Elephas maximus indicus: one gene and its partners. The protein of the gene in region 3 interacts with the protein of the main gene of each other region in a pairwise test. Links are inferred from orthologs where the notes say so. Each region holds a gene or a part of one and is shown on either strand. Other genes may lie near its edges.

What was found.
Region 1: the proteins of ZC3H12A (region 3) and P4HA3 interact in binary tests that used the Homo sapiens proteins (3 or more experiments, as listed by UniProt). The two-hybrid records come from large-scale screens. The link is inferred for Elephas maximus indicus from reciprocal best matches to the Homo sapiens genes ZC3H12A and P4HA3.
Region 2: the proteins of ZC3H12A (region 3) and AHSP interact in binary tests that used the Homo sapiens proteins (3 or more experiments, as listed by UniProt). The two-hybrid records come from large-scale screens. The link is inferred for Elephas maximus indicus from reciprocal best matches to the Homo sapiens genes ZC3H12A and AHSP.

What each region holds. Positions count from the first base shown.
Region 1 is NC_064825.1:48,206,776-48,214,261, forward strand, and holds the start of P4HA3 (prolyl 4-hydroxylase subunit alpha-3), read left to right. Parts: upstream 1-4,395; coding exon 4,396-4,595; intron 4,596-7,486. UniProt on the Homo sapiens protein: Catalyzes the post-translational formation of 4-hydroxyproline in -Xaa-Pro-Gly- sequences in collagens and other proteins.
Region 2 is NC_064830.1:90,860,391-90,866,594, forward strand, and holds AHSP (alpha-hemoglobin-stabilizing protein), read left to right. Parts: upstream 1-4,750; 5' UTR 4,751-4,828; intron 4,829-4,997; 5' UTR 4,998-5,001; coding exon 5,002-5,076; intron 5,077-5,289; coding exon 5,290-5,493; 3' UTR 5,494-5,658; downstream 5,659-6,204. UniProt on the Homo sapiens protein: Acts as a chaperone to prevent the harmful aggregation of alpha-hemoglobin during normal erythroid cell development. Specifically protects free alpha-hemoglobin from precipitation.
Region 3 is NC_064821.1:79,048,647-79,056,604, forward strand, and holds the start of ZC3H12A (endoribonuclease ZC3H12A), read left to right. Parts: upstream 1-4,932; 5' UTR 4,933-5,070; intron 5,071-5,145; exon of another isoform or gene 5,146-5,664; 5' UTR 5,665-5,778; intron 5,779-5,909; 5' UTR 5,910-5,941; coding exon 5,942-6,384; intron 6,385-7,958. UniProt on the Homo sapiens protein: Endoribonuclease involved in various biological functions such as cellular inflammatory response and immune homeostasis, glial differentiation of neuroprogenitor cells, cell death of cardiomyocytes, adipogenesis and angiogenesis.

The DNA of each region.
Region 1 (7,486 bases), on a different chromosome or scaffold from region 3:
TTCCTCCAGTCTTGATCAGTCCAGTAAATCTGGTCTTTTTTATAAATTTGAATTTTGTTCTACATTTTTATCCCATTCTAATTGGGACCTTCTATTGTGTTCCTGCAGAGTAGCCGGTAGTGGTAACCAGGCACTATCTAGTTCTGCTCCCAGGCTAGAGAAGGCTGTGGTCCGTGTGGGCCATTAGTCCTGTGGACTAATTGCTTCCTTGAGTCTTTAGTTTCCTTCCCCCTCCTTTGCTCCAGATGGGAGGAGACCAGTAGTTATATCATAGATGGCTGCTTGCAAGCTTTTAGGACTCAGACACTACTCCCCAAACTAGAATGTAGAACAGTATCTTTATATTAGGCCAGTTGACCTAGATGTCCCCCGAGACGATGGTCCTGAGCCTTCAAACCGAGAAACTAAGACCCACAAGGTGTTTGGATGTCTAGGAAATTTCCATAACTATGCCCCCTATTGGAAACCCTGGTGGTGTAGTGGTTAGGTGCTACGGCTACGAACCAAAGGGTTGGCAGTTCAAATCCGCCAGGTGCTCCTTAGAAACTCTATGGGGGTGGTTCTACTCTGTCCTATAGGGTCATTATGAGTCGGAATTGACTCGACGGCACTGAGTTTGGACTGGGTATGCCCCCTATGTGCTCTATTATATATATGAATATATATGTAGCACATACAAATATGTATATGCAAATGCCCACAACTATACCTGTATGCGCACACACATGTACTCCCATACACTCTCCCAAACCTATATAGTATATATATCTACCTACGTAACCACTTACAAATTTTTGGTTGTTATTACTGTTGTTGCAGAACTGTATATGTTAATAGGATTTATCGTAGTTGTCATTTATCCTTTCATACCTCTCAGTGTCTTCATTTACCTTGGTCATGATGTGTTGACTTCCCCCATATTGTGTATTGCCTTTCCCTTCACCAGAATTAACAAGTGTCTACTATCTAGTAAGTGGTTTTCCCTCCCCTCTCTGGTAATGATCAACGTTGCTTTCTGTGTGTAAACCTATTCTTGACTTTTTATAAAAGTGGCATCATCTAGTATTTGTCCTTTTGTGATTGACTTATTTCACTCAGCATGATGTCCTCCAGATTCATCCATGTTATAAAATGTTTCACAGACTCATCATTATTCTGTTGTTGTGTACTATTCCATTGTATGTGTGCACAACATTTTCTTGATCCATTCATCCATTGGTGGATACTTTGCTTGCTTCCATTTTTTGCTGTTGTGAATGATGCTGCAATGAGCATGGGTGTGTGTATGTCTATCTGTGTCACTGCTCTTATTTCTCCAGGATGTATACCTAGGAGTGGGATTGCTGGATCATATGGTATTTCTATTTATAGCTTTTTGAGGAAAGTGCCATACTGCTTTTCATAGTGGTTGTACCATTTTATATTCCTCCAGCAGTGTGTAAGAGTTCCAGTGTCCCCCACAACCTTGCCAGCATTTGTTGTTTTCTGTTTTTTTTTTTTTTTGATCAGTGCTGTTTTTACAGGGGTGAGATGGTATCTCACTGTAGTTTTGATTTGCATCTCTCATTTTTTTTAATGGCTAATGAGAAGCTGGACTATATGAAGAAGAACTTGGCATCAGGATTGGAGGAAGACTCACTAACAACCTATGATATATAGATGATATAACCTTGCTTGCTAAAAGCAAAGGGGACTTGAAGCACTTACTAATGAAGATCAAAGACTACAGCCTTCAGTATAAATTACATCTCAACATAAAGAAAACAAAAATCCTCACAACTGGACCAATAAGCAACATCATGATAAATGGAGAAAGTGTTTTAGTTGTCAAGGATTTCATTTTACTTGGATCCACAATCAAGCAGCAGTCAAGAAATCAAATGACATATTGCATTGGGCAAATCTACTGCAAAAGACCTCTCTGAAGTGTTAAAAAACTAAGATGTTACTTTTAGGACTACGGTGTACCTGACCCAAGCCATGGTATTTTCAGTTGCTTTCTATGCATGCAAAAACTGTACAATGGATAAGGAAGAACAAAGAATTGACACCTTTGAATTATGATGTTGGAAAAGAATATTTAATATACCATGGATTGCCAGAAGAACAAACAAATCTATCTGTCTTGGAAGGAGTACAGCCAGAATGCTCCTTAGACGGGAAGATGACAAGACTTCATCTCATGTACTTTGGACATGTTATCAGCAAGGACTAGTCCCTGGAAAAGGACATGCTTGGTAAATTAGAGGGTCAGCCAAAGAGAGGAAGACCCTCAACAAAATGGATTGACACAGTGGCTGCAACAATGGGCTCAAACATAGCAACGATTATGAGGATGGCGAAGGGCTGTTGTACATAGGATCACTATGAGTCGAAATCAACTTGATGGCACTTAACAACAACAACACAATGGCTCATAATTAGGAGCATCTCTCCATATGTTTGTTAGCCTCCTGAATGTCTTCTGGGGTGATGTGTCTGTTCATGTCCTTTGCCCACTTATTGATTCGATTGTTTGTCTTTTTGTTGTTGAGGTGTTGGCATTTCCTATACATTTTAGAGATTAGACCCTTGTCAGATGTGTTGTTGTCAAAATCTTTTTTCCCCAGTCTGTAGGTTCTCTTCTTACCCTTTTGGTAAAGTCTTTTGATGAACATAAGCACTAAATTTTTAGGAGGCCCCAATTATCAAGCTGATCTTCTGTTGTTTGTGCTTCCATTGGATTTTCATAGATGACGGGATAATTTTCTTAGTACGACATGCAAAGCCCCTTCACAATATGACAGCTCCAACCAAAGAAACTTTTCATCACTTCCAAAACTCAAACTACTTTCCACCCCTGAACCTTGGTACCCATAGGCACCTTCTGCCCATCCCTCCCTTGCCTGCCACAGTGGAGATAATCCTTTTTCATCCCTTGGGCCAGTGCACGTTGCTTCCTCTGTGAAGCCCTCTCCACCACCGACGCATGTGCACAGGCTTCCTGCTCAGTGCTGCCATTGCACATGATGGCCCCACCCTTGGTTACCCTAATCACATTTTATTGTGGTTATTTGTTTACATATCTGTCTCCTCTTGTGAGCTCATTAGGACCGGGGTTAGCGCTGGGTCTGCTGTTTCTCTGTGTCCTCAGCCTGGTACCTTAAAAAAAAATCACTGCTGTTGAGTACATTCCGACTCATAGTGACCCTACAGGACAGGGTAGAACTGCCCCCGTGGGGTTTCCAAGGAACCACTGGTGGATTCGAACTGCCAACCTTTTGGTTAGCAACCTTAGCTCTTAACCACTATGCCACGCAGTACTGTAGGTACCAGTAAACATTTGTTGAATGAATGAACAAATGCCTGGGAAATGCCACGCAGTACTGTAGGTACCAGTAAACATTTGTTGAATGAATGAACAAATGCCTGGGAAAAAATAAGTAACCTAGTAGGATGTAAATAATAATTTTGTTTGCTTGCTTAAGTAACTGTGTAATATATTGTGTAGAGCAGAGACTTGGGATCCCAGAGTTTTAGGTCCTCTAAGTCCTAGAAACGTTATGCACTGGTCCTAATGCCCTTCATCACGCCTAACCTCCTGGTCAAATTTCTACTCATCATTCAGGATCGCTCAGATGTCACGTCCTCTGTGAAATGTTTTCCTCCCCTCTGCTCTCCCGCACTGTGAGTCGGAATCGACTGGAAGGCAATGGTTTTTTGGGTTTGGGGCTCTCCCACAGCTCTTTACACACACACACACACACATACACACACACACACACACGTCGCTATGGTACCTCTATTATTATACCGCATTATTTGCTCTCCTGGATTTACCAATCAGAATTCAGTAATGTTTCTATAGTTCCACCCCTGAACCAGGGGGTGAATATTGTTGGGGTGGCCTTGTACAGCCTTGTTTTTGTGTGCCGTGGAGTTGATTACGACTCACAGCGACCCTATATGACAGAGTAGATCCGCCCCATAGGATTTTCTACCGCATCCTTCTCTGGTCGAGGGGCTGGTGGGTTCCACCTTCAATCTTTCGTTTAGCAGCCCAGTGGGCTCCTTTGTACAGCCTTAGGCCAGTGAATTCAGCGCTCACACCACCCCGTGTCTCAGTTTCCACATACGTGAAATGGGCACAGAGGAAACACCTTCCTGGGGCTGTGATTTAGTGAAGGGAGCGCCACTGAGGTTGCAGGCAGTCCGCTCACGCAGTCTGAGCAGCTGAGAGGCAGGAACCCGAGGAGCGGTCAGAGCAAGTAAGGAGTCGGCGGTGGGGGGCTAAGCAGGCCTGACAGGCAAGGCGAAGGGGCGGGGCGAAGCCCAGGGGAGGAGCAGGGCTGGAGCTCCGAGCGCCGGGCGCAGGGCGGGCGGCACCGTCTGAGAGGACGCGAGCGAGCGCCGGCCATGGGTCCCGTGGCTCGGCTGGCCGCGCTGCTGGCGCTGCTGGCGCTGGGGCCCAGGGGTCCGGCGGGGCCCGCGGCGCAGGGGGACACGTTCTCCGCGCTGACTAGCGTGGCGCGCGCCCTGGCGCCCGAGCGCCGGCTGCTGGCCCTGCTGCGGCGCTACCTGCGCGGGGAGGAGGCGCGGCTGCGGGACCTGACCAGGTGAGGACAGTGGGGCGGGGCGACAGAGAAGCCTGAGTGGGAGAGACTCACAGTGCGAGACCGAGACACTGCGGTGCAGAGTGGGAATGACTGAGGCAGCGTGTGACTCCAGACTCACTGTCGTTCTGCGTGGGACGTCAGACCCAGTGTCACACGGTGAGACTGAGAAACTGTGGTGTGGGATAGGGAGTGACTCTGAGGTCTGGTGTGATTCCAGACCCTGTGTAGGACCCCGGTCCCTGTGTGGTGGTGGGGAAACTGAGACCGAGTATGAGCCCACAGGCACTGTGTCACATTGTGTGGGGCCCCACACTCCCATCACACAGGTAGTGGCACCCCAGATCCAGCATCACACGGTGAAGTTGACACACTGTGGAGAAGTGTGATGGAATACTCTGAGGCAGAGTATGACCTCACAAGGCACTGTGTCATGCTACAGGGGACCCCAGCTCTGTCACAGTGACACAGACACAGTGGAACCATGCAATGACACAGACACTGTGACCATAAAATGTAGAGAATATGGGGATGCTGTGGCCCCACGTGTGTTGACCTTGTGAGTTGGCACTGTGAATCAAGAACTGTGAAACACTGTGTGACCCGGTGAACTGACATTTTATATGATGTATCAGAGGAGATTCTGTGACTTTGTATGAAACATATATGTCATTGGGACTGGATGGGCATGGCACTATGGGTATCACGCTATGCATGTGGAATATGCTGAGTAGAAGTAACTATATATAGTATGAAAAATTAATTCATTCAACACATGTGCTTACTATGAGCCAAGCTTTGTTCTAAGCCCTGGGATAGAGCTTGGAGCCTCTGCATCATGACTGCTGACCAGTGATGTCCATCTCCTCTTTTGCTTTCAGTTCCCCCTTCCCTTGATCTTTACCAAAAATCAAAGCAGTTGCTGTCAAGTCGGTTCTGACTTACGGTGACCCATGTGTGTCAGAGTAGAACTGGTTTTCTGGGGCTGATGTTTCAAAAGTCAATTGTCAGGCTTTTCTTCTGTGGTGCCTCTGGGCAAACTTGAACTGCCAACCTTTTGATTAGCAGCCAAGTGCTTAACCGTTGTGCCATACAGTGTCTCTTACACATGCTTTAAAAAAAAAAAACTTATAGCTGTCAGGTCAATTTTGACTCACAGTGACCCAGAGTAGAGCTGCCCAATGGGGTTTCCAAGGAGCACCTGATGGATATGAACTGCTGACCTTTAGGTTAGCAGCAGTAGCTCTTAACCACTATGCCACCACATATGCTAAGAGCTCCCTACAGACTGGATAAATAATAACCGAGATGTTATATGTATGTGAAAGCCTTTGACACCAAGAAAAAATTGTGAATAACTATACTTGCGACTGGAAGATACTGTGTATATAACACACAAACAGATGCTTAGCCAATGTTGTTTTGCTATAGAATCAACAAACTCTAGGGCTACACACTGTGGGATAAAATAATACAAGACTTGGACACTGGGGTAGTGTAAGCATTTATTGACTCTGTGTCCAGCTATGAAAGTGAGTGATTGTATATGATTGCATGTATATGAGTATGTATTTTGCTTTCTCTTCTTGGGACGTGAGAATTCCTACAACACTGTGAGAAACAGAATTGTTTTTATATGGCCTTTCTCACCATAGTCTTGTGATTCCTACAAAATGATTGGGTGGGACTATGCAAATAAGGTACTTGTGGTCCACTGCTAAAAATGCAGATAAGGTGCATGGAACCCTTGTGTGGGGGTGGGACCATGCAAATAAGGCATATGGAACCGAAATGAGGGGATTGGTCAGTTTTGCCATCTCACTAGGCTTAAAAGAGAGCCAATCCCAGAGCAGAGAGGGGACCTCACTATCATCAAGAAAGAAGAGCTGGGAGTGGAGTGTGTCCTTTGGATCCAGGGTCCTTGCGCTGAGAACCTCCTAGACCCAGGAGACAGAGAGAGAGCTGTAACATCTGAGATGGCACAGAACAGCTAGAAGCAGCAGAGAAATAGTAGCCACAGAGAAACAGCAACAGCAGAACCAGGAGGCGAGCACGAGACCGCACTATAGACTTCCCGGCCCAAGGAGCAGGGTGGCTTCAGTGGGGATGCCAGCTCATGGAGTGAGAGAGCTGAGAGTCTTCAGGCAGGAGGCTTCATGGTGCAGTGCGATGCCTCTGGGCACTTGTCAGCGGAGCTAGGCTTGCCAATCTATGGAGCGAGAAAGCTGAGTGCCTTTGGGCAGGAGGCTTCTTGGTGGAGTGGGGTGCCTCTAGGCACTTATTGGCAGAGCTAAAGAGCTTTGTAACACCTGCCTGAGCAGGGCAGAGGCCAGGCCAAGAGGCAGAGGGTCAGAGAGAGACCTACCTGCAAGCACAACTGAAAAGAAGCTGTCCTGATTGAAGAACTATATCCTGAATTGTTCCTGATCCTGGACTGTAATCTGTTACTTCCCTAATAAACCCCATAATTGTGAGTATTGTCTGTGAGTTCTATGTGGCCATTGCAACAAATTATCCAACTCAGCAGAGAAGTAGAGAGCTGGCATCAGAATTGGTAAAAAGGTCAGAGAGTGGAGGTGTGTTTGACCTCTACTTCGAAGGGATCAACCTTGGGCTGTTGATGATGATGGTTCTCCCTCCACATGAAGTTAGAGGTCTGATGCCGCTATGCCATTTTCACAGTTGGTGCTGTTTTTACCCAATGGTTGTGACCACATCGCAATATGAATATATAATATTGTACTCATATCATGTGAGTGTCCTGCTGAACTGAGACAACCAAGGGCTGTGTCACAATGCACTGCTTATGAAGCTGTGAGTGAGTGTGATTGTATATGATGGTCATGCCGATTCTGGGGTGACATGGAAAGAAGGTGTGTATGACTACGACTGTG
Region 2 (6,204 bases), on a different chromosome or scaffold from region 3:
TCACAACTGGACCGATGAGCAACATCATGATAAATGGAGAAAAGATTGAAGTTGTCAAGGATTTCATTTTACTTGGATCCACAATCAACAGCCATGGAAGCAGCAGTCAAGAATTCAAAAGACCCATTGCATTAGGCAAATCTGCTGCAAAGGACCTCTTCAAAGTGTTGAAGAGCAAAGATGTCACCCTGACGACTAAGGTGCGCTTGACCCAAGCCATGGTATTTTCAATCACATCATATCCATGTGAAAGCTGGACAATGAATAAGGAAAACCGAAGAAGAGTTGACGCCTTTGAATTGTGGCGTTGGTGAAGAATATTGAATATACCATGGACTGCCAAAAGAACAAACAAATCTGTCTTTGAAGAAGTGCGGCCCGAATGCTCCTTGGAGGCAAGGATGGCAAGACTACATCTTACATGCTTTGGACATGTTGTCAGGAGGGATCAGTCCCTGGAGAAGGACCTCATGCTTGGCAGAGTACAGGGTCAGCAGAAAAGAGGAAGACCCTCAACGAGGTGGATTGACACAGTGGCTGCAACAATGAGCTCAAGCGTAACGATTGTAAGGATGGCGCAGAACGGGGCAGTGTTTCGTTCTGTTGTGCATAGGGTTGCTATGAGTCGGAACCGACTTGACGGCACCTAACAACAACATTTTATTCTCTTAGATGGTATTGTAAATGGAATTGTTTCCTTAATTTCCCTATTAGATCTCTCATTGTTGGTGTATATAATTCAACAGATTTTTGTTTGTTGACCTTGTAAGTAAGTAATTTCTTTTATAAGGATCAGCACAAAGCTGGTTCTTATGAGGCGGAGGTTAAAGATGTCCCAAATGTCCAACTTTTCCAGACTGCTCCACCACTCCATTGTCCCTAACATCAACTACTCCCTGCTCCTCAGTACTCTCATTCCTGTCTTTGGGTTCAGTAATTCACTGCAATGTCTCACAGAACTCACAGACTGTACTTATAGTTAAGTGGTTTATTAGGGAAGTAACAGGGCACAACTTGGGATCAGGATAAACTTGGAAGCAACAGGAACAACTCAGGACACAGTTCCTGGATCAGAACAGCATCTTCTCGTCCTCTGTCGCCAGCTCTCCTGAGGCCTTGCTGCCACCAAGCTATGCTGGGGGCCTTCTTGGGCAAGTGTTATAACTCTTAGCTCTGTTATAACTCCTAGCCCCACTGCGGCTGTGTTGCACTGTTCTCTGGTTCCTGCTGTCTCATGCCACTCTCTCTTGCTGTCTTCCATGTTACAGCTCCACTCTCTCTCTCTCTCTCTGTCTCCCCTTAAGCCTAGTAAAACCCAGAAAAAAAAAAAATTTTTTTTTTTTTGCAAAGCTGTCCAATCCCCTCATTAGGGTTCCATACACTTTATTTGCATGGTCCCACCCCTACAAGGGTGCCATGCAGCCTATTTTCATTATTAGCAAGCAATCCAATCCCCTTGGTGGGCCACAAGCACCTCATTTGCATAGTTCCAGCCAGTCATTTGGTAGGACTTATAAAGACTATGGCTAGAAAGGCCATATTAAGTAATTCATTGCACTGCATCTTGTATCTTGCAACTTTGCTAAATTCTTTTATTAGCTCTAGAAATTTTCTCATGGACTCTTTGAGTTTTGGCTTCTTTAAAAAATAGGATTTTTTGTGTCATTGAGTGGTAAGAGTTTGTTATAAATTCTGTATACATCTCCTTTGTCAGACTGTATTGTAAATATTTTTCCCAGTGGTAGCAAATATTTTCTGCCTTAGATAAATGAAAACATGTTCACACGAAAACCTATACATAAATGTTTATAGCAGCTCTATTCATAGTTGCCATAAACTGCAAACAATCCAATGTCCTTCAATGGGTGAATGAATAAACAAACTGTGGTACACCCATGCAATGGAATGCTACTCAGCAACGAAAATGGCTGTCTTACTGATACTCATAACAACTTAGATGAACCTCAAAGGCATCATGCTGAGCGAAAGAAGTCAGTCTCAAAAGGTTGCATACTGTGTGATTCCATTTATATGACATTCTCAAAAATACTAAACTATAGTGACTTTTTTGATGGATCAGTGGTTGTTAGGGCTTTGAGCCAGTTGGGAAGGGTTCAGGAATTGTTCAGTAACTGCCTACATAAATGAAGGCAGTGTAAGCACTGCATAGCAACCAAATCTGTTGCCTGGCAGATTTTGACCTGAATGGGAAACAGGGCAGTGCTCCACTCAAAGATGGCAGCTGACTGCCTACTTTGAATATCTGTTCCTCTCCACAGTCCTGCCAATAATCCAATCTTCTGTATGGATCCCTAAAGTTTCAGGAGCCTGATGCAGTAGACCGGATTGTTGGCAGGACTCTGGAGAGTGATACACATTCAAAGCAGTGTTGATTGCCATCTTTGAGCAAACCACAGCTGTTTGTTTCTGGTTGTTGTTGTTGTGTGCCGTAGAGTCAATTCCGACACACAGCAACCCTCTAGGACAGAGTAGAACTGCCACATAGGGTATCCAAGGAGCAGCTGGTGGATTTGAACTGCCAACCTTTTGGTTAGCGGCCTGGGCTCTTAGTTTCTACTCAGGTCAAAATCCGCTGGCTAACAGATTTGGTTGCTATGCAACTCCTATGCTGCTCTCCTTTGTGTCTGTTCCAAACTGGCTAGAAACCCTGATTTAGGGGTGGGTGTGGGTGTGACATGGAAACCCTGGTGGCCTACTGGTTAAGTGCTACGGCTGCTAACCAAAGGGTCGGCAGTTCAAATCTGCCAGGAGCTCCTTGGAAACTCTATGGGGCAGTTCTACTCTGTCCTAAAGGGTCGCTATGAGTCGGAATTGACTCAACGGCACTGGGTTTGGTTGGTGAGTGTGACTACAAAGGGGTCTAGAGTTTGAGGTGATGAAAATGTCCTGTATCCTTATTATGGAGGTAGTTAAATTAATCTATATTTTTTTATGTTAAAATTCATAAACTGTATACTGAAAAGAAAGGAGCCCTGGTGGCGCAGTGGTTAAGCACTTAGCTGCTAACTGAAAGGTCAGTGGTTCAAACCCATCAGCTGTTCCTTGGGAGAAAGATGTGGCAATCTGCTTCTGTAAAGGTTACAGCCTTGGAAACCCTGTGGGGCAGTTTTCCTCTGTCCATAGAGTTGCTATGAGTTGGAATCGACTTGACAGCACACAACATACCAAAAAGAAGTTAATTTTGCTATATGTTAACTAAGCTGTTATTGTTAGCTGCTGTTGAGTTGACTCCTGACTCACAGCAACCCCATGCACAATGTAACAAAACACTAGCTGGTCCTGAGACATCCCTATGATCTATTGCAGATGGGACTATTGTGATCTATAGGGTTTTCATTAGCTGATTTTCAGAAGTAGATTGCCAGGCCTTTCTTCCTAGTCCATCTTAGTCTGGAAGCTCCGCTGTAATCTGTTCAGCATCATAGCAACATTCTCAGATGGGCGGTGGCTGTGAATGAGGTACATTGGCTGGGAATGGGATCCAGGCAACGCTCATGGAAAGTAAAAATCCTACCACTGAACCACTGATCCCCCACATTAAGAAAACACCATACATTTAAAAAAAGCAAATCGACAAACCTCTATGAGTGTGTAGGTGCTTATGAATATTGGCTTTTGAGTGGAGAAAGGTATGACCGGAAACGCACAAAACTTTAATGATCACTACCTCAGTGGGGAGCAAAAATAATCAACTTTTTCAGTGTACACTTTTGTATTTTTTCACTTATTTCATGTAGTAACTTTGAAATTTGAAAAACAAAATCTACTAAAATGAAAACCATTAGGACAAACATTTAAAAAGAAGAAAAAGAGTATTTCTGCTTTAGTGAGTACTTGGTGATATGTAGAGAACAAGAAATACATCTCCATTCTTGTGGAGTGCAGCTGGGCAGGGTCATCTGCAAAAAGTGGCTAATAACAGTACAGTCTGTTATCTAGTGCTGCAGATAACGGAAATACCACAAGTAGGTGGCTTTAACACTTTTAATTTTGTATAGTTTAGGAGGCTAGAAGTGCAAATTCAGGATGCCAGTTCTAGGGGAAGGCTTTCTTTCTCTACGGGCTCTGGGGGGAGGTCCTTGTTTCTTCTCAGCTTTTGTTTCCTGGTTCCTTGGTGATCTTCATGTGGTGTGGAATCTATCTTCTCTCATTTCTGCTTAATCCGCTCTTTTATATCTCAAAAGAAATTAATTCCAGACATACTCTACACTAAGACTGCCTCCTCAACAGAACGAAGACAACCCATTCCTAAATGGGATTATAACCACAGGTTAGGGTGAGGATTCACAACACATATTTTGGGGGGACACAGTTCAATCCATAACAAATACCTAATAGGGTTTTTATAAAGATAAATACCTCAATACGTGTTTGAAATAGTGCCTAGCATAAAGGATCTGCTGAATAAATGTAAACAGCTATTAACAAACCATCCATGAAATGAAAGAATAATTGCCATCACAGTGTTGTGATTTCAAAGGGCCTGACATGTAACAGGGCCTCAATAAATGTTAGTTTCTTTAGTGTTAAAAGTTTGGGTACTGGGATGCGGGCCTGCCTTGGTTCTTGTATTTTCTGGGTCTGCTCACTTATCTCTTTTTCTTGGCCTCATTATCTTTCCAACTTCAGGGAAGCCTCTCCCTGCTTCCCCTCCCCAGGGTGACCTATCATTCTCTCTCAGGACCTAGACTTAGGGTGTTTCCCTCCTACGCTGACACTTGATTCCTTGCCTACATCTAGGTTGGCACAGAGAGACATACATACCCTGAAGAGTGAGGGTGAAACACACAGCACCGTTCACCAGATGGTGAGCCCTACCTGGGAGAAATAGCATCTCAGAACAGAGCAGGCTTTGAAAAGTGTTAGAGGGGAGGTGGCCCTGAAGGTCACCAAGGATTGGTGGTGTTGGAGGGGGGCGGTGGATATCCAAGGACAAGGGAAAATGTTACTTAAATTCTACCTCTTTCTCTTACCAGGTAGATGGCCCTTCTTCAGGCCAATAAGGATCTCATTTCCACAGGAATGAAGGAATTTAGTATTCTGCTGAATCAGCAGGTAAGTTTGGCACTCCATTTCAAAGGACGGGCCTGGAAAGTAGGAGGTGAGGGATAATAATATGGAGTTGGAAGAGTAATGGTGGAATTGATGGAAACAACTCAAGACAGGGAATACAAAGCGGAGGAAAGAGGATGTGACTTTCTGGGGACTATTTCCTATCCTATATTCCTCGATCACATTGTTGACCACATTCCTCCCTCCCACCCCCAGGACATGCGTGATAATCCTATCCCTGAAGAAGCCATGGTAATTGTGGTGAATGACTGGATGAGCTTCTACATCAACTATTACAGGCAGAAGATGACTGGGGAGCAGCAAGAGCAGGATAGGGCTCTGCAGGAACTTCAACAAGGGCTGAACACTCTGGCCAACCCTTTCCTGACCAAATATAGAGACTTCCTGAAGACCCTGTGAGCATCCAAATGGCCCACTGTTTTCCTCCTAGCCCAGCGATCTAGGCCTTCACCTCTAAGAAACCCCCAAATCCTGGCTTTATGTTCTCCATGTCCTCAGGCTGTGCTCCTTCATGGTGCTACTCTACCATCACACCTCAATAAAGACAAATGTGTTCTTCTTTGAGTGTCTGTCCCTGACTTGTGGAGGCAGCTGGGCCTTTATTTTTAGCCCTGCATCCTAGATCTGATCTTGGAGACTTAATTCCTTAGAGCAAAGGTCAGCAGCCTTAAGTAACCACGGGCTAGTACTTAAACAGTCTGGTAGACCGGGTCTACAGAGAAAGTGCTGGGGGGAGTTGGGGGAGGCGAGGCAATGGCTGGAAGCGTTGGTTAAGAAAAGGAGGGTGGTGTTTTGGAGGTTTACAGGCATTGTGGTCCTGTGATGTGCTTGTCCAGCAGAAAGCTGGACGTTTCCCAGTCTTGCGGGTGGAATCATGAGTTCACCTTCCTCGATTTTCCAGTCCCTGTCCTGGTGAAGTAGTGGTTAACAGCTGCAGCTGCTAACCAAAAGGCTGTCAGTTCGAATCCACTAGGTGCTCCTTGAAAACCCTATAGGCAGTTCTACTCTGTCCTTTAAGGTCACTATGAGTTGGAATCGACTCCACGGCAATGGGTTTTTTGTCCTTAGCTCCAGCTTGAGCAAACTTCTAGAATCTTCTGACTCTAAAAA
Region 3 (7,958 bases):
TTCAGACTTCTAGCCTGCTGGACTGTAAGAAAATAAATTTCTCTCTGTTGAACCCATCCACTTGCGGTATTTCTGTTACAGCAGCACTAGATGACTAAGACAGTCAACATCAACTCGATGGCAATGGGTTTGGTTTTTTTCAGACTTACAGACATTTGTTTTATGCTTTTGAATTATAATCCAATACTGTATTACCTATTCTCTTGCTCTACGCATTCCAGCTCTGGCCACTGGACGCTCTCTTGACTTCTGTGTCCCTTTGACATGACCCATCCTTTTGTTTTTTGAGCACTTTCTTCCCCTCTGGCACCACAAGACGCTCCAAGCCTATCTTTTCCTGCCTTGGCCCTAGAAGTAGCCATTTCTGCGAGGAAATAACATATTTTTAAAGTAAATCCTCCAGTTGTCTTGTCAATAGCCCAAATGTATTGCGCTGTATTTGAGTATGTGATGAAAAGTTAATTTTTTCAATTATCGTTTAAAACATACCTCCATTTTCGTAGCTCTGCTTTAACAATTATTTAGTAAACCAAGAGTCTCTACACATGGAGAAGCCTGGCCCTTTCTCCACTTCCAAGATCCCTTGTTGAATTTTTCTTTTTTTTTTTAACATACGAAACAGACAATTTTTTTCTGGGATTATACTGGTAGTCATGCTAAAAAATCCTCTTTTTAAAGGGCAATAGGACTTCTGTACTGCACAAAAGCCCACCCTTTGTTTTACAAATAAACACAGGAGAACATCTTTACCTAACTGCATTCATCTGGAAGTAGTACATGAGCACTAAATGATCTCATGGCCTTGTTCAATTTAACTGTTATCTCTACTGCCACTCTGCTAAGGCTCCGGGCAGCCCACCCACCCGCTACTGAAGTGGCTGGACTCCTGTGTCCTTGCCACTGTCAGCCGGAGCTGCCCAGTGGAGCAACTGGAGGCAAAGGTAGTTCCTGCGGCCCTTCCCGCTCCAGCTCCCTCCCTCACCTCCAGGGCTACAGGTCCTGGAGTGCAGCAGACCCCGCCCAAGCTGGCCGGGCAGGTGTGGGCAGGTAGCAAGAGGGTAGGCAGGCTCCAGGACGGAAGTCAGCAAGCCCAGCAGGTGAGACGGGAAGGAAGGAGGGAGACAGGAGGTGCGTGGGCTCTGCACCATTAAGCTCCAGAGGGCACCCAGAGACTGGGGCCAAGGTTTGCAAAATCCAGCTTTAAGTGGAGAAGGGGTTCTCCAGGGCAGCACTGAGTTCTGCAGAAGGGAGTCGGCTTTGCTGGAAGGAGCCGGCCGCCTCATGAGCCGGAAGAGAGTGAGACTGCGGCTAACTCTGGGAGGGCAGGGAGCTGCGTGACTCATCGCCGGTTCCTCCGGCTCCCGCTGGCACAGCGCTGGGCAGCGCGGGGGGGGGGCCCCCGGGAGCAGGGGCGGAGTCCCAGCCCAGACCTGGCCCTACAGGAGGTCCCAGGTGGCAATTACAATACGGCACAGCATGTAGTGACAGAAGCTGGGTGTTGTGGGAACCTGGTGGAGGAAGCGACTCACCACGAGGAGTCTCGGCAGGCCTCAAGGTGGAGGTGACACCATCGAAAAGAAGAATGGAATCGGCTGGGCAGCAGTAGGGAGGGGAGAAGCGAAGGGCACTCCTGGCAGAGGGAGAGGCATGTGCAAAGGGACAGAAGCATCTGCAAGGCACCTGGCCCTGGCCCTGCTGTCTGCAAGTTAACATATTATTACTGGGATTGATATATCATCATTATTGTTAACTTGGACATGCCATTTAGTCACTTAATCTTTTTACTATCCTAAAGGTGGTTACTATTACTACAATGAATAAATGCCTGATGTCACTGAGCTCTCCTCTGTAAGAGGGGCTGTTGTGAAGACCAGAGATACAGTTATGTATAGCGCTCAGCTGGCATGGTGTGACACTTGTGGGGTGCCTAGTGTACAGGGTCTGACACACAGCCGGGGGACTTATGTTCCCTCTCTCCTTGGCCTGCCACCCCTGGGGTTGCTGTGCAGGAGTGGGGGCACAGAAGAGGGGACACTTTGGGGTCTTCAACGATGAGCAAGTAACAAAGCAGGCTAGGTCGAGTCAGGCAAGCCCAGAGGAACAGCATCAGGACCCAGCTACAAACGTGCACTCACTCCTGCCCGGGATCTTCTGTGACCTCCTAGAACCAGCAGTGTAGACCAGCAGTATAGACTAGGAGACGGGCTGCCTTGGAGGGAGCTACGTGAAGTCCACTCCACCAGCTCAGTGACTCTAGGCAAGTCACTTCACCTTTCTGAATCTCTGAGAGTCACTTTTCTCAACTCTACAATTGCATTAAAAGACACACACAAGAACTGAATATCCAAAGCACACTCTTTGTAATAACAACAACACAAAAAACCCAACTAGAAACAACCCAAATATCCAACAACAGGAGCTAGATCACTAACTAGTGGTATATTCACAAAACGGAATACTATTCAATAGTTAAATAAATGAATTCAAGGTACAGGCAACAGAGATGGATTCAAAAAAAATAATGCTGTGTGAAAAAAGGAAGTCATAGAACTATAGAATGATCCCAACTATATACACTAGAAAAAACAAAAAGCACAACTAAAATATCATCTAGAGATCCATACAAAGGTGGTAAAACTAAGAGAAAATCAAGGGAATTATTAGCACAGTTAAGACAAAATTAAGGAAAGTGTCCTTCAGGGTGGGGAGAAGAGGTTGTAACAGTAGAGGTAGAAGGGGAGCGCCCAGAGGACCTCAAAGGTAACGCTACTGGCCAATTTAAGTCATGTGATGGAAACATGAAGTCCCTGGGTGGTGCCAACAGTGAACATATTTACTGCCAACAGAAAAGTTTACAGTTCAAGTCCACCCAGAGACATCTCAGGAGAAAGGCCTGGAGACACACTTCCGAATGATCAGCTACTGAAAACCCTGTGGGGCACAGTTCTGCTCTGACACACTTGGGGTCACCCTGAGTCAGAGTTGATTCACGGTTTAGGGTTTTTTTTGAACGGATACATGGACGTTTTATTATGATTACTGTTATTCGTCAAGCTGTACGTGTGTTGTTGTTCTTAGGTGCCATCGAGTCAGTTCTGACTCATAGCGACCCCATGCACAACAGAAGGAAACACTGCCTGGTCCGGCGCCATCCTCACAACCCTTGTTATGCTTGAGCCCGATGTCGTAGCCACTGTGTCAATCCATCTCATTGAGGGTCTTCCTCTTTTTCGCTGATGCTCTACTTTACCAAGCATGATGTCCAGGGACTGATCCCTCCTGACAACATGACCGAAGTATGTAAGACGAAGTCTCGACATCCTTGCTTCTAAGGAGCATTCTAGTTGGACTTCTTCCAAGACAAATTTGTTTGTTCTTTTGGCACTCCATGGTATATTCAATATTCTTCATCAACACCACAACTCAAAGGTGTCACATACATGTATACAAATTTGGAATATAACACTAATACCTACCTTATAGGAGCCCTGGTAGCACAGTGGTTAAGCACTCAGCTGCTAACCAAGAAGTTAGTGGTTCAACTTTCCCTCCACTCCGCTCCATGGGAGAAAGATGTGGCAGTTTGCTTCTGTAAAGATTTCCAGCCTTGGAGACTCTATGGGGCGGTTCCATTCTATCCCACAGGGTCGCTATGAGTCAGGATCAACTTGATGACAGACAGTTTACCTACCTTATAGGACACATGCCTATGATAAAGGCAGAGATAATGTATGTAAAGTATGGGCACACAGTAAGCACTCAGTTTTGAGTGTTTTGGCTTACTGGGCCTCAGCTTCCCCATCTGCAAAGTGAGCCGGTAGCACCGCAGAGGCTTTGTCCTCTAGCTTGCGGGTTCTGTGTTTTCTTTGTCCTGCCTCACCCCCCACACGGAAGGTCTCTTTGGAGCAGGTGTCAGCCCCCCCCCCCCGCACCAGAAGAGTCTCCCCTTGGTCCTAGGTCACTGGTGGTCACAGACGTGGCACAGGAATGGGAGCTCTCGTTCCCAGTTTTAAGTCTTTCTAGCTGGGGCAACTTAGCCGTTTCTAGATTTGTCTTCTCTTCGGTTAAATGTGTATAATAACCTCTGCCTCCCTCACCTAAGCCCATACGTGGATACTGTGAAGTGCTGTGCATGTGAGGGGCCATGACTGATTGACCTGGGAACTTAAAAGCATCCTGGTGAAGGAGTGGGTGCTGCCTCTGGTGGGGGAGGAAGGGGGAGCCCATGAGTGTTAAGGCAGCATTCTGTGACCACTCACCTGGTGGTTGGTCTAAGTGTAGCTACCTTTGCCTGGTTTTCTCCTCAGTCATTGTGCATCTGCTGGTTGTACCTGTCTTTCTATCTCAGCACTGATTTCACAAAAAGTGTACCTGGCCCTGGGTGTGGTCCCACCTCTGTACACCTGCTTCAGTAAGGGTGTACCTGAATATACCTGCACCAGTCAGGGTGTACCTGTGGAGTGTTCCTGTCTCCATCTGGAAAGTGTCTGTCTGGAGTAACTATGGACTTACCTCTGTGTACCTGATTCACTCAACGTGTACCTGACTGTATCTTTTGTCCGTCAGGATGTACCTGTTAAGTGTTCTTAGGTCTGAATGTACGTGGCTGTACCCGTATTTGTATCAATGTATTTTTTTTTTTTATGACTACGTGCGTATACCTGGCTCTCTATGGCTTACCTCACCCTTACGGCCGGGCTCCTCTCCTAGTCTCCTCGTCTCCCGGGCCTGGAGGCACCGGGAAGGGGCAGCGTCCCGGAGCCCCGACTCCGCCAGCGCCCGACGCGCCCCCACCGGCCGGATTCCGGGCCTGGCCGGGAGCCCTTGGGCCGCGGGGGCGGGGCCAGGAGCCGGGGCGGGGCGGGGGCGGAGCAGGAAGGGGCGGTGGCCGCTCCGCCCCCTCCCTCCCCGCGGATCCCCCGAGCGGCTCTCGCCTCCTTTGCCCGGCTTCCGCGTCACTGTCCTTAACGCCACCTGCCCGCCCACAGTCCGGTATAAAGGCGCCGCCGGCCTCGCCCCCGGGACTCGGCCCCATGGAGACGCCGCGGGCCGCAGCTGGCGCACGGCGGGGTGAGAGCGCGCGGCGGGGAGGGGCGCGGGCCTTGGGGTCTGGTCGGAGGAGGGTGGGGAGGGCTCCAGCTGGGTCCGATTACAGCGAGAGGGACGTAGGGCTCGTCCCCCCGAGGCATATCCGTCCTCAGGAGCCCCTCCAACTTAGCTCAAGTTAGGAGAACCCGGGGAGCGGGGCCGAGGGACGGGCGGGGGAGCCGAGCGCGCGCGGGTCTCGGGGCCAGGACAGCCTTCGCGTCAGCGGCGGCCGGCGGCCAACCAGAGTTTCCCAGCAACTTTTCTCAACGGTGGGTCGCCTCGGAAACTTGCCCGCCCCTGGCCCGGGAGTGCGGCCCTACTGGCCTTGCGCCGCCTGGGCCTGGGCCCTGAGTGCTGTGCGGATAGGCGGAGGCGACGGCCGCAGAGGGGAAGCCCCGGCTTCCGAGCGCACGTCCAACTCTAGGTTTCCAGTGAAGGCTCCGCCCCGCAGCTGTCGGGGCGCGGCGAGGTCCTCTGAGGCCCCCCTAGCCTTTAGGTCCCCAGGGTTGGCGTGGGGGTGGGCGTAGGATAGGAGGTGGAGTCAGACCGACTGAGTTCAAACCCTTGCGCCACCAGTTAACAGCTGGAAGACGGGAGGAAGTTCTTAATGGCCCTGTGCCTCAGTTTCCTTCTCTATATGATGGGAAGAACACCCCCTCTCCCGGAGAGCTTTTGAGAGCACTGCATAAGGTAATACAGAAGGCGGCTCTAATCAGGGCCGTAGGTGGATGCTGCTTCATCGTGTTGGGTGGGGCAGGAGGGGGAGAGGAGGTGGGAGAGAGCACGGTTTCCCACCCCTGACCTTTACGGTTGTCTTGCAGGAGCTGACAGGTGCCTGCCAGGAGTCTGAACTATGAGCGCCCCCTGTGGAGAGAGGCCCGTCAAGGCAGCCAGCCCGGCCATGAGTTTTTGGGAGCCTGGGGACAGCCACAGCTGGCAGGGAACCTCCGGGCTGGCCCAGGAGCCGGCCACTGAGGAGGCATCGGCTGCGGAGCTACAGATGAAGGTGGACTTCTTCCGGAAACTGGGCTACTCATCGACTGAGATCCACAGTGTCCTGCAGAAGCTGGGAGTCCAGGCGGACACCAACACAGTGCTGGGCGAGCTGGTGAAACATGGTCCAGCTGCCGAACGGGAGCACCAGGTCTCATCAGACCCTTGCCCTCAGCTGCCCCTGGTCCCCCGGGGCGGGGGTACCCGCAAGACTGTCACTCTGGAGCCTTCACCCCCTGAAGAGGACAAGGAGAGCAGTGACCTGAGACCTGTGGTCATTGATGGGAGCAATGTAGCCATGAGGTATGTGTCACTTCTGTGGCCAAGACTCATGACTAGCAGCTGGGCATGGTGACCATGTCCTGGCTCTAGGAGTCTGACCTCTTCCCACGGACTGGTCTAGAAGAAGGGAAAGCCCTTTATTGAGGCCCTACTGTGTGCCAGCAGGCTCCCTTAATCTTCTGACATCTTGAGGTGGGTTTGAGAGGAATGTTTACAGATGAGGACATAGGCTCAAAGGCTTGCCTGTGGTTGCACTGCTGGTAAGTGGTGTGGCAAGGATTCGAACCCAGTTCTTTCTGACTCCAGCGGTCACCTTGTGCTGTGGATCTTTCCCTGAGTGCCACAACTCTTCACCGTCTCAATTCCTCTTCTGGATACGAGGCAGTGTAGTGCAGTGGATTAGACTGTGGACTCCAGTGTTAAAATGCCTGGGTTTGAATCCCAGCTTATTTGTGTAAGAGCTGTGTAAACTATAAGCCAGTCACTTAACCTCTCTGAGCCTTATTTCCTCATCTATAAAATGGGCCTAACAGTACTCCCCACTCCCCAGGTGATAGTTGTGAGGAGTGAATGCACAAAGCCTGGTGAGTAGTAAGTGCTCAGTAAACATTATTATTCAGGGCTGGGACTTCTGAGACTGTGTTGTCCCAGACCCGGGCTCCCAGCTGCTGAGGCCTTTGTGGTTGTGACCAGGAGTCACCTTGAGGCTGGATCTGGCTCTGTCACTGGGAGGTGCAGGTGGTGGCCTGAAGCTCTGACTTCAGGTGAGCTGTGACTCAAGTCCTTCTGATTCTGCTGGAACTGCCTAGGAAGGACTGGGCTGTGCCAGGCTACCCAGAGCCAGAGCCAGGACTGGGCCCCAGTACTCCCAGTGCCCCGACACAGGCTGTCACAGGGGGTGGGGTGGGGGCAGAGGACCAGGCCACTGGCCTCAGGGAACCCAGACTTCTGCCTTCACTCCAGGCCCCACCCTCTGGCCCTACTTTCTCCCAGTTTTCTCCAAGGCAGTGGGTGAGTCAGGGCTGGGTGGATCTCTCACAGGGAAGAGTTCCTGTTGGTGTGGTCAGGGAGACCCCAGGCAGGAAGGAACTCACAGGTGGGCTGCCTGAGGTGGCCATGACGTCAGCCTCTGCCCTCCACAGCGCTTGGCCCCTCCCACTCACAGCCTAGCCAGGCAAGTCAGCCTTCTGGCTGGTTCTAGCCCCGCTCCCTGCATTCATGCTGGCAGCCCTCTTGCTGCTGCCTGCCAGTCAGTCTTCCATTTCGGAAATGGGCTGAGATTGAGCAAAGCCAATTCCCATGTGCCAGGGCGGCTGGTCACAACCTGTGCTTTGCGTGTGCCTGGGTCAGGAGTTGGGATGGCACAGTGTCTCCTTCCTTGGGGGTGGGGGGTGAGTCTGGGCTGGAGTAGCTGAGCCCTTGGGGCCACCATGTGCTGTGTGTTTGTATCCTAGCAGGAGGAGGAGGGGCCTGGGAGGGAGGGGCGGGCGGTGGAGGGGGACCAGGGGAGCGGGCCTGAGAGGCTGAGCCGACGGGGCTTTCTGAGCTAGGGCAGTGGCAGGAGGGGAATTCCAGCCTCAAGCTTCCTGTCTGAG